Linked DNA regions of Callithrix jacchus. The protein of the gene in region 1 purifies or fractionates together with the protein of each later gene. This does not show direct contact. Links are inferred from orthologs where the notes say so. Each region holds a gene or a part of one and is shown on either strand. Other genes may lie near its edges.

The links.
Region 2: the proteins of CLCN4 (region 1) and TMEM9 purify together in Homo sapiens (co-immunoprecipitation; 3 studies listed by BioGRID and IntAct, with this or other methods). This does not show direct contact. The link is inferred for Callithrix jacchus from reciprocal best matches to the Homo sapiens genes CLCN4 and TMEM9.

Annotation. Positions count from the first base shown.
Region 1 is NC_133524.1:10,362,412-10,368,029, reverse strand, and holds the start of CLCN4 (H(+)/Cl(-) exchange transporter 4), read right to left. Parts: upstream 3,692-5,618; 5' UTR 3,247-3,691; intron 1-3,246. UniProt on the Homo sapiens protein: Strongly outwardly rectifying, electrogenic H(+)/Cl(-)exchanger which mediates the exchange of chloride ions against protons.
Region 2 is NC_133520.1:28,166,002-28,171,046, reverse strand, and holds part of TMEM9 (proton-transporting V-type ATPase complex assembly regulator TMEM9), read left to right. Parts: intron 1-1,255; coding exon 1,256-1,387; intron 1,388-5,045. UniProt on the Homo sapiens protein: Transmembrane protein that binds to and facilitates the assembly of lysosomal proton-transporting V-type ATPase (v-ATPase), resulting in enhanced lysosomal acidification and trafficking.

The DNA.
Region 1 (5,618 bases):
CCCAGCTACTCAGGAGGCAGAGGCACAACATTCGCTTGAACCCAGGAGGCAGAGGCTGCAGTGAGTCGAGATCACACCACCAGCACTGCAGCCTAGGCAACAGAGCAAGACTCTGGCTCAAAAAAAAAAAAAAAAAAAAAAGACTCAACTGGGCCTGAAGGGCCTGCCTCCAAGCCCACTCACACCCTCACACTGTCAGCAGGCCTCAGTTCTTCTCAGGCTGTTGGAATGGACCTCGGGTCCTCGCCATGGCAGATGGACCCTTCTGTAAGGCTGATCCCGCCACAGTGTAAGCAATCCAAGAGAGAAAACACACATCAGGCGGAAGCCTCTTTACTCCCTCATGGCAGAAGTGCCACCCCACCCCCTGCTGCCATACTGTCTTCATTGGAAGTTCATTACTTGCTCCAGCCCAAACCCCAGGGGAGAAGGTGAGTTGCACCTGCCAGGGACGGGGATCACTGTGTCTGTCTGAGGGGCTGCAACCACATCACATTGTCACATCTAATCAAAGCAGCAGCAGTCTTCCAATGTCATCTAATAGCCAGTCACATCAAAGAGTCTCCAGGTGTCCCCAAAATGCCTGTTACACATGTTTGTTCAAGCCAAATCCAACTGAGGGCCACAAGTGATGTTTGGCTATTCAGTCTCTTAAGTCCCATTTGATAGAGAATAACCCACTTCCCTTTTTAAAATTGTCTTTCATGTTATTGCCTTGTTGAAGAGACAAAGTCAGATGGCTTACACAGAGTACCAAGGCCACCGGAGGCACACAGGAGTGTGACAGACCTGCCCTAGATGGCCATGGACTGAAGCCTGTGAGGACAGGCTTCAGTCCATTCAGTCTTGGATGCCCATGGACTGAAGCCTGGATGGCGTGGGGAGTGGATGAAGCCAGCTTCTCTCACCCCAGCCCTCTGCACAGTGGATCTCCCTCACTGAAGATCAACTTCCCCAGCAGGGCTTTCCCAACTCCTCCAGGAGACCATTTTCATGGTGCCAAGAATGATCAGACAGACAGAGCGCACAAGCCGATAGCAAGGGAACACAGGGGAGGGACATATCAAAGTCCCAAGCCTGGGGCACAAGGAAATGTTTTCTGGCCATTCTGAGCACCCTCCACATACACAAACACAATAAACATGTCAATGCAGCTGCCATCCCTGCTTCCCGACGACTCTCGGGAGTTTCCCAGCCTGCAGACTCTCTCACTTCCATCCGTCCCTCCCCAACAGCCAAGAAGCAGACTCAGCAAGTACAGTTGGCCCTGCTTTACAGATTCGCCAGCAGCTCTTCGAGGTGAAGTGATGCAGCCACAGTCACCCTAAGTGTCAAAGCCAGATCCTTAGATGCAAGCCCTGGACTGATGCTTAAAGCACGCGACCATGTCTCCCTTGAGCGAGTGTCCCTGTTGCTGGTGGTACAGACAGTTTGTTTGCCTCCTGCTAGCTGCATAGACGTCACCACCCTCTTATCCTAACCACGTCCCACACCAGCACCAGATATCGTGTCATTTCATCCTGACAGCACCTCCGAGTGGACACTGTTATTCCCACTTTTGCAGATAAGGAAATGGACTCTCCACTGTTAGGTCTAACCCAGGGTTAGAGTGAGTATGTCCAGGGACATGCTCCAGGTCTGCTGAGCACGAAGCCCCGGCAGCTTTCAACACACATTCATCTAGTGCTCTGTTTTTTATCTCTTTCCCTAACACACTCCTTTCTGCCAAGCTAGCCTCCCAGCTACAAATGGCATACAAACAGCTCCTCCCTCTTTCACAGAAGCTATTTCTGGAAATTCACAGCATAAAAACACCTTCACAGTGTGTTTTCCAATATATACAATATTAAGAAAGGAAATCAGATTTCTTATTAAGGGCTTGGCAACAAACCAATCATAAGAAAATGAATTCTTGGAGCCTGAAAAACATTTCGAGATCATCTAAATCAGTGGTTCTTGACAGGGGGCAATGGAGCCCTCAGGGGACATTTGAAAATGTCTGGCAACATTTTTGATTGTCACAACTGGGGGCCGGTGGGGGGTTGTTGCTACTAGCATCTAGTTGGTGGAGGCCAGGGATTCTGCTAAACATTTCACAAGCACAGAACAGCCTTACCACAAGGAGTTATTTGGCCCCAAATGCCAGTAGTGCCCAAGGTTGAGACACCCTGACCTAAACCCCTTTGTTACTTTGAGGACAAGATAGTCGAGGCCCAAAGACACAATGACTTGTCCAAGGTTGCACAGCCACAAAGCAAGAAGTGGAATCTAGGTCTCTATTAGATCCTCCTCTATCATCTGCTTTGCTCTGTCTAGGGTTGGGCTGGGGGAGAAAAAGAGGGTAGGGACCCGAGGATCTTAATTGCTGTAACCAAACTGAACCAAAGGAAGAAAATTGCAACAAACAAGTTACTAAATTACTGCAGCAACACATCTGGGTGTCCCAAATTCTGAAAGAAATGCCTCCTTTAATTATTGATGAAAATAGCATTGCTTTACAGGCCCCCCCCCCCCAGCATTGCTGGTGGGTCAAATTATTCATAATGTGAGTTCCAGTACAGTTTACTGACACCAAAGCTTCCAGAAGGGTCAGGTTTTAGAGGGGAAAAAAAAGGCCACATTCTCCCCCTAAGGGTGCCCACACAAGTCCTGGCTACAGTTTCTTCCTGACCCAGAGAAAGGAATGTAAATGCTGTAGAAAGAGTCCATTAAAATCCCCCACCCACTGTCATGCTAGAATTGAAGTCACCTGACTCCCCCCCCACACCGCCATCTGCCGCTGAGTCATCAAGCCCCTCCATTCAGCATGCGAATGATCAGCGAGGGAATTAAAAAGAACTGTGGGAATTTTCAGGTTTTGCTCTTGTCTCCACCCCCACCCTCTGCTAAAAATCATTTGGTTCTTAGAGATGTAGCTGTCTCTTACACTCACATGTTACCTTTGGAGGCTGCAATTTATTTTTATTTTATTGGATACTGTTATTTTTTAATCTACTTAAAACACCTGGAAGGAGAAAAGATACATTTCCGACGTATGCCTTGTAAATGCTGGAACTTTGCAAAATAATGCAAAGCAATTTAGATTGCACATCTGGCTCTTAAATTGCTAACCAAGAAGTTTCCACTTCGCAGTCCGCTTTTGCTTTGAAAGAAATGAGGCTAATTACTGAGGACAAAGGCCTGTAATTAGTAACCATGTCATTATTTAAGAAGCAGAATGACAGCAGGAAAACAATTGATAGGTACCTCTTAAAAGCCCCTCTCTCTACGTAGAATGCATGCAGTGTGGTCATTTCAGATTTTGTTCCCCCTCCGGAGCGTTTTTTTTTTTCTTCCCCATGTCTTTCTGTCTGGCCCCTGCCCCCTTTCTTGGGGCGGGCACGCCAAGACCCAAGTAATGCGTGGGCCTGCCACGGGCCATCCCCTGCCGGGTGCGTGCAGCTGCACCAGGCAGCTGTAGGCAGCAGGCGCGGCAGCAGCCAGAGGCCCCACTTTGGGTTTTGGGGGGCGCAGCCGGGCTGCAGACCCGCGGGCCGGGCTTCCCCTGCAGCGTCCGCGGCGCCGGGGACGCCAGGGAGGTCGTCCCGGCGCCACGCGCCCCTTACCTGCAGTGCCGCATCGCGCCCAAGGCCGCCCACCTGGACAGCATCCTCGAGCATCCTTTCTTCAGCGCGACGGCTGCGAGCGCCGTGACGTCACCGGGAGGCGGGCCCCACGTTGCCACGTGACCCCTTCGGGTGACGCGGAGAAGTCCGCGCGGGGTTGGGGGGAAGACCCTGGAAGTCCCCGGAGGTGAGGGGCGATGGCCCGAAACCCTCGCGCTGGCCGCCCCTCAGGGAGTTTCGCTTGATGTGTGCAGTTTTCCTGACGTTTCACGAAGAATTATGAAAAACAACACACAGGAGAGGAAATCCAAATTATTACAGGCTCCAAGCGTGTAATAGGATTTCAAAAGAATTAGCAATAAGGGGATTACAGTGAAAGGAAATACAATTTCATGTTTTGTTTTAAAATTAGTATTTATCAAATGCAGTGGAGGAATAAACATTTTATGCAAATCAAAATGACACAAAATACCATGCATGGACACACTTTGCATAGAGGTTCCATGTTTCAAATTGTATATCATCTATTATACCAAATACTTTAGTTCAAAGCAATTCATTATGGAACGTTATACTAATTGTACAGATGAATGATGCTTTAATTACTCTGAATAGCTGCATTCCAATATTAATTTGTATTTGCCAAAGGAAAAAATGGTGATACTGCGTTTTTCTACTACTTACTTAAATATGTGTTGATTTAAAACAAAGCACTATCACGTGAGCATGGTTGTATTTGTGTGTTTCCTTACATCTTCTGGCAGGGCATTTAATCTCTCAGACATGAGTTAATTCACAATAACTCATTATTTCATATTTTCTAATTTTTATCACATTCTGAAGAAATGAGTCATTTTACTATCACAGAAAATATGTACAATGTCAACATTTCTCATTCACAACTGTAACAGCCTTGCCTAGAAAACCTTTAGGAAATTACAACTGTGATAATTTCATAAATTTGAAATAGCATATTTCAAACTTAAGCAGTGCACGTATAAACTTTTCTTTTGCTAAAACACACAAGCGTTTTTGAAATGTAAAAGGACAAAAGCCAAGACTGCTTTTATATGCATTCCAATTGTAGACAAATAGATTCATTTACTTTCACTTGAGTTAAAAATCACAATTTTAACATTCCCTTTGTTCACAGCCCTGAAAGAGACATGAAACCGATTGTTTTACAAGCAGGTTAAAGTTTACTTGCTATTTATTCCAGCAGCTTTCCTGTCCTTCTATATTTAACCCTGGCCTTTAGGCCATCATTCCCTCCAAATTAACTAAATTTCTGTTCAGAAGGTTAATCTCTAATTTGGGGGAAAATACAGCCCTTGACTCTCACGGCGATCAATTATTTTCAACACTAGGTTTTAAAAATCAACAAAGTCGCAGTGTAGTTTACTAGGTCACTCCTCTCAAATTTGTTTTTCTGAGTGATATAAGCAGCTTACCTTCCGCTTTCAGATTCTGAGATATAAAGTTAAAACGCTACCGAAATCTGCTCCTTGGGGTTGAGGGTCTGATGAAGGCAGAAAGTGACAAGCTCATTTTCCTGCCAGAGGCAAATGTCGATTTCAGCCTCAGGCGCCCAGAGGGCCTCGGAGGCAGGCTCGGAGCATCACGTGCTCGGCCCAGCCACTCAGCCCTGCCCAGTCAGCTTGGTCACCTCTTGGCGCCGGAGGCCCGCCGTGCCAGTGTCCTTCGCCTCCTACCCCTGGGACATTCGTGTCCAGAGAAAACCCAGCGTCCCGGAGACAGGACGCCCCACCCTCAGAGGCTGGGCTGCACGGAATTCTGTGACCCGAGTTCGCAGAATCAATGGGAGGTGGTGAGTGTATCAAATGCCCTGCAGACTGAAGAGGATGGTAGCACGATGCAGACAGCCTTGCTCTGTGTTCCGGCTTGGCTGAAATGACGAAATACAGGCAACCTTCTTCATCCTGGAGTAGTTTCTTTGCAATAGGTTAGTTTCACCTTCTCTTTTTTCCAGGTGATTGCTCAATTGTAAAAAAA
Region 2 (5,045 bases), on another chromosome or scaffold:
CCTCCCATTTTCCCCAGTCCTCCTACCTAGGAGGTTCCCCTCAACTTCAGCCTATTGAAGACCCAGCCCCTGTTCTCCTTCCACTTTCCTGGGGTATGTGTGAGAGGTCTGATTATTTGTCCTGTTTAAACAGGCATGAACAGGATGTCCCAATCAGGGTGGACATTGGTCCAGTGGAACTTGGCTATTGGCTGAGCTGGGCATCCTACTTGAAAGTCCTGAGGTTCTCCTTTTTTTCACCCTTCTTCACAGTCTAGGTAAGGCAGGGCTGAGATCAGAAGTCGGCAATGGCCAGGTGTTGCAGAATTAGGAAAAGCATTTGAGAGGGAGTCAGCAAGTCTGGGTTTGAGTCACACCTCCTCCATCTGGTAGCCTTGGGATCCCAGGTGATCTAGCCCAGCAGTTCTCACTCAGATGATTACAGCCCCCCAGTGGGTATGTAGAGGTGGGTGAAGGTGCTTTTGTGGTCCCAATAACTGAGGTGTATTACCAATACCGTTACAGGGACCATGGATGCTAAATATCCCACCCAAAATCCCAGAGCACCCACACTGAGAAACACTGAATTTGCCCCATTAAATCTGTCTTTTCTGTAAAAACAAAATGACCCCAGCTTGTGAAGCACTGTGTGTAAGAGATTCGTGGAGTTGTTCTGCTGCTGGCTTTCCCCTCCCTGCGGGGGCTGATCACAGGGCAGGTGTGACTTCCTCCCCCAGTGTACGCCTTCTTACCAGCCCATGCCACTCTGCACAGGGGCGTGCCATGAATGGGTCAGTGTGCCCCATCTGTCCTGTACTCCACAGAGGCAATGAGCTCCCCAGCCCAGGTTTACTCTTCCTGGACGCAGCTTTCCAGCCTCTCCACAGCCAGTTCTTCCTTGCTCTTAGTTTCTGATTGCTTTCCACCCTTCATCATGGACTCTTCTACAGCCAGGGAGGCCCTGTGGTCCCACCTCTATCCTGGGAGCCTCTCAGGACGTCAGGCTCCAGACTTCTTCCTCTGTCATCTGCCTTCTGTCTTGATGCCTACTGTGTAGACTCCCTCAAGTTAGGACAGAGTGCTTCCTCTGTGGAGTAGGGCCCTCCTTTCCCTTTGGGGCATGCTTTCCTTCTAGGCCCACGTTGCCTCCAAGCCCTTTCTCAGTGCAGCACTTGAGGAGTCACTGCCAGCCATACACAGATGGCCCAAGACTAGAAATGGATTTCTGGCCCTGGCCCCAGATGCCAGTTCACAGGCACGCTGGTGTCTTTCTCAGGTCATCATTGTCATCTACCTGTCGGTGGTGGGTGCCCTTTTGCTCTACATGGCCTTCCTGATGCTGGTGGACCCTCTGATCCGAAAGCCAGATGCATACACCGAGCAGCTCCACAATGAGGAGGAGAATGAGGTAAGAGGGCTTTGAGTGCCCAGCCCTGGGCTCCCTGCGTGTGCGTCCCCAGGACGGAACCCAGAGGAGCGTCTCCTAGATCTAGGTTCCACCCCCGCCACATGCTTCAAGTTGCTCTTTTCCCAGTTAGTGTCCTACACGTCACTCAGACTCAGCAGGGACACACCCTTTGCCCTTCCAGATGAAGCAGGACACCTGGCATCAGGCAGCCTCAGTACACAATCCGGGGGAGCTGTGTTGTCCTGCTATACTGTCTTGCCAGGCAGAGGGGATGTGACCAACCAGGGCCAGTCACTCATAGATACACGTACTATCCCCCACGTGCTCGGACACTGGTGACAAGCTGCTAGTGGACTGGAATGCGGCAGGTTAATTCGTTGGTTCAGTGATTCCACAAATATCTGTTGAACACTTGCTCCAGGGTCTGGGGGGAAATGTAGGATTTCAAGAGTGGAAGAGGAATGAGGCAGACAGCGGTGCCAGGCGGGGGACATTGCCTGATGAGTATGTATGAGGAATATTGAGCATTGTAAGGATAGGGTAGGGGTGTGGGGGAATAGTGGCAAAGAGAGCTGGCCAATAGCCTTAGGCCACATTATTAAAGATCCCAAATGTCAAGCTAAGGGGGTTTGGCTTTATCTGATAAGGTACGTAAGGAACCACTAATGCCAGACAGACTGCAAGACCTGCAGGAGTTCACACAATGGTGGGGAGCTGGTGGGGCCTGGACCAGGCCCAGCACAGTTAACAGGCGCTCTCACCATCTTCCCATTCATCCTCATCCTAAAAAGGATGCCATGGAGAGGAAACCCAGGGGGACAGGAAGGCTCAGGTGAAGGGCTCTTCATGGAAGTGAGACGTGCATATCCGTGCTGAGCAGAGTCATGATAAGGCCCACACTCCCCAGGTGGTCTAGGGGAGTCTCCTTGCCGGAGTAAGGACTGCACATTCCCAGGTGCCTCGGGCTCCCCCTTTACACACTCACCTACCCGCTAGCTGGGTGCACGAGACAGCAGAGCAGGCTGCTCAGAGGCATGCAGCCGAAGCAGGTGGGGTTGCCTGCTGCTTCCACTCTGAGCTCAGTCCCCAGGGCCTTGCTGCTGGAGGATATTCCTGTTTATTGACTGATGGAGCAGTGCCCTGAGTGAACTCATGCATATGCATAAGGAATATCGAGTGGGGAAGTGCCTCAGCTAGTCCTGGGAGAATTAGCTGAAGAAACTGAAAGTTGTTCAGCTTGAAGTTAGAAACAACGGAAGACGATGCAGGATAGCTGCCTTCAGAAGTTTGTAGGAGACAGCCTAGCCTCCCCCAGGGCAGAGAGATTTAACACTAACACGGTATAAGCTGGAAGCTAGGGGTCTCCCTGCAGACAGCGTGGTCTAACTGTGAGGTAGGTGGGCTGGGCTCCCTTGCAAGACCATGAGCCAGTTCCTCACCAAAAAGAGGACCCAGGGGCTCAAGTCTACGTGTGAGGCTACGTGGGTGATGTGGGTCTGGGCCAGCATGAACAGTGAAGACAAGGGCAGGTCGGGGAGGGAGCCTGGCTGCTCCCGCAGGCTGTGTTGCCCCCCTTTATACATGCCTGGACTTCTCCCAGTTTTCCTCTAACCTCCTGCTGACATGAGTTTGGCCAAAGGTGGAGCAGAGGAGATGAGCCTTGCCCCGTTGGAGCTGGGGCCTGGGAGGTGGTGGCACTGGCAGTTGGGTGGTCTGTGTTCAAGAGGAAACCTCGTGTGCCTACCTGGTTATTAATGTAGAGTAATGGCAGCTCTGATAGGGGAGAAGCATCGCTAATAAACACTCAGTGATTAGGGGTAATGTGGTAATTGCAGTCCCGGCTGGGGTAGTAATTGAGAGATGCAGCCCAGTGATTTCCGTGGAATGCATGGCTCTGGGGCATGGCCTTGTGTCTCCTGCTGTCCTAGCTAGGGAGTTGGAGGGAGGGCAGCTCGGGGAGGGCAGCTTGCTATCCCTGGGTCTGAAGCCAGGTCTCTCTTACCCCCAGAAGACCTGGGGTGCTCCTCATTTGCAGCCTGGTTGTATGAGGGGCCTTGGAAGAAGGGGTTAGATTTGGGAACCTATAGCAGGTGCTGGAAGGACAGTAGGTTGTGACAGTGCACAGTACATAGAAGCTGGAGAGCCATGCTCCCGGCTGGAGGGGAAATTGCAGCCCTGGGATGGATAGTATGACACCCCCTCACCTCTCACCTGAGGTTCTGAAAATTCATAAAAAGTTGTGTTTATTCTTTGATACTCTGACCTAGGGTGCAGCCAACTCTGGCAGGTTGTGGCCTGGGGCAGGTAGATCTCATCGGGTGCCCTTGACTGGGTAAGGAAGTGCCCCCAGTCCCGTTCTTTGGCATCACCTCTCCATCCCCTCACCTCCTGTGATTCTGTGTGGTCTCCAGGTCACAGGTGTCTATGGTTCAGCAACTCTGCTTTTCTCAGTATATTCAGAAGACCTGTAGGTGGCACAGTGTTGAGGTTTACACAGACCCCTTGGCTCCCTCTCCCCAATTCCTGTGGCCAGGAGCTCTCCTGCCCTGGGGGTAGAGAACCGGTAGAGGAAGGAGAGGCCTCCCACTCAGCTGCAGCCCCTGTCATGGAGGGAGATGAAAGCCTGTCATGTCTGCCCTCAGGCGTTTAAGCCCCAAAAACAGGTGAGCCAGCAGGAGACGGAAAGGCTGGCAGTAAGATCTGGCTTCCTAAGATGGGTGGTCAGCTGAGGAAGTCAGGTGCCTTGGGAGGTCCCTCTTTATTAGACAAGCGGTCGGGAAGTTACCCTTCCCTCTGTGTTAGTCTGGGAAGGAAGGCTTGATGGTAGAGGGGGATTTTCAGTGCCAGCTCAGGATGGATGGGAGAGTGACCAGTAAACTGCAGGGAGGATGAATGGGGTACTACTTCGGATGGACAGAACTCACGGAGCTTGTCTTTACATAGACCTGTGGCCCTAGTTCTGGACGGCGAAGGATGGTCTACTGCCCCTCTCAGCACACAGAGGAAAGGGATGTGGGGAAATGTGGGAGTGGGGGGCAGGCACTCAGCTGAGCAGCAGCACCTAGGCTGTGGCCGTGTCTCTGGGTTTCACCCCAAGAGGAACAAAGTCTGGACGTGGCCTCCTGGGGTACCTTGAAAGCTCGCCTAGGCCTGTACAACTCGGTGACTTTAGAAGGAAAATTCTCTCTAGGCTCCAGGGGCTTTCAGGCCCTATTCCCCAGGAGTCTGGGACCTAGTTAGAGGTGAGATCGGCAGGGCATTTTCTCAGGGCGAGGGGTACCTTGGCTCCCTCTCCCCAATTCCTCTGGCCAGGAGCTCTCCTGCCCTGGGGGTAGAGAACTGGAAGAGGAAGGGGAGGCCTCCCCCGCTCAGCCGCAGCCCCGTTCATGGAGGGAGATGAAAGCCTGTCATGTTCCCTTTGAAAGCGTTGGCAGAGCCTCAGTGGGCCCTGATTGCTGGGCGCTGCCTCCCCTGGAATTCCAGCAGCATTAGGCCTAATCCCTGGGCTCAGACGCCCTTTGAAAGGAGGAAGCAAGCATGTTTGCTGGGGCAGAAACGGCAAACAGAGCTGTTTTAGATGTGCAGGTTGAGCCCTCTTTGAAGAGACACATGGTTTCTCTGAGGCTGGGGATGTCGCTGCTCACAGCCTGGGCCCAAG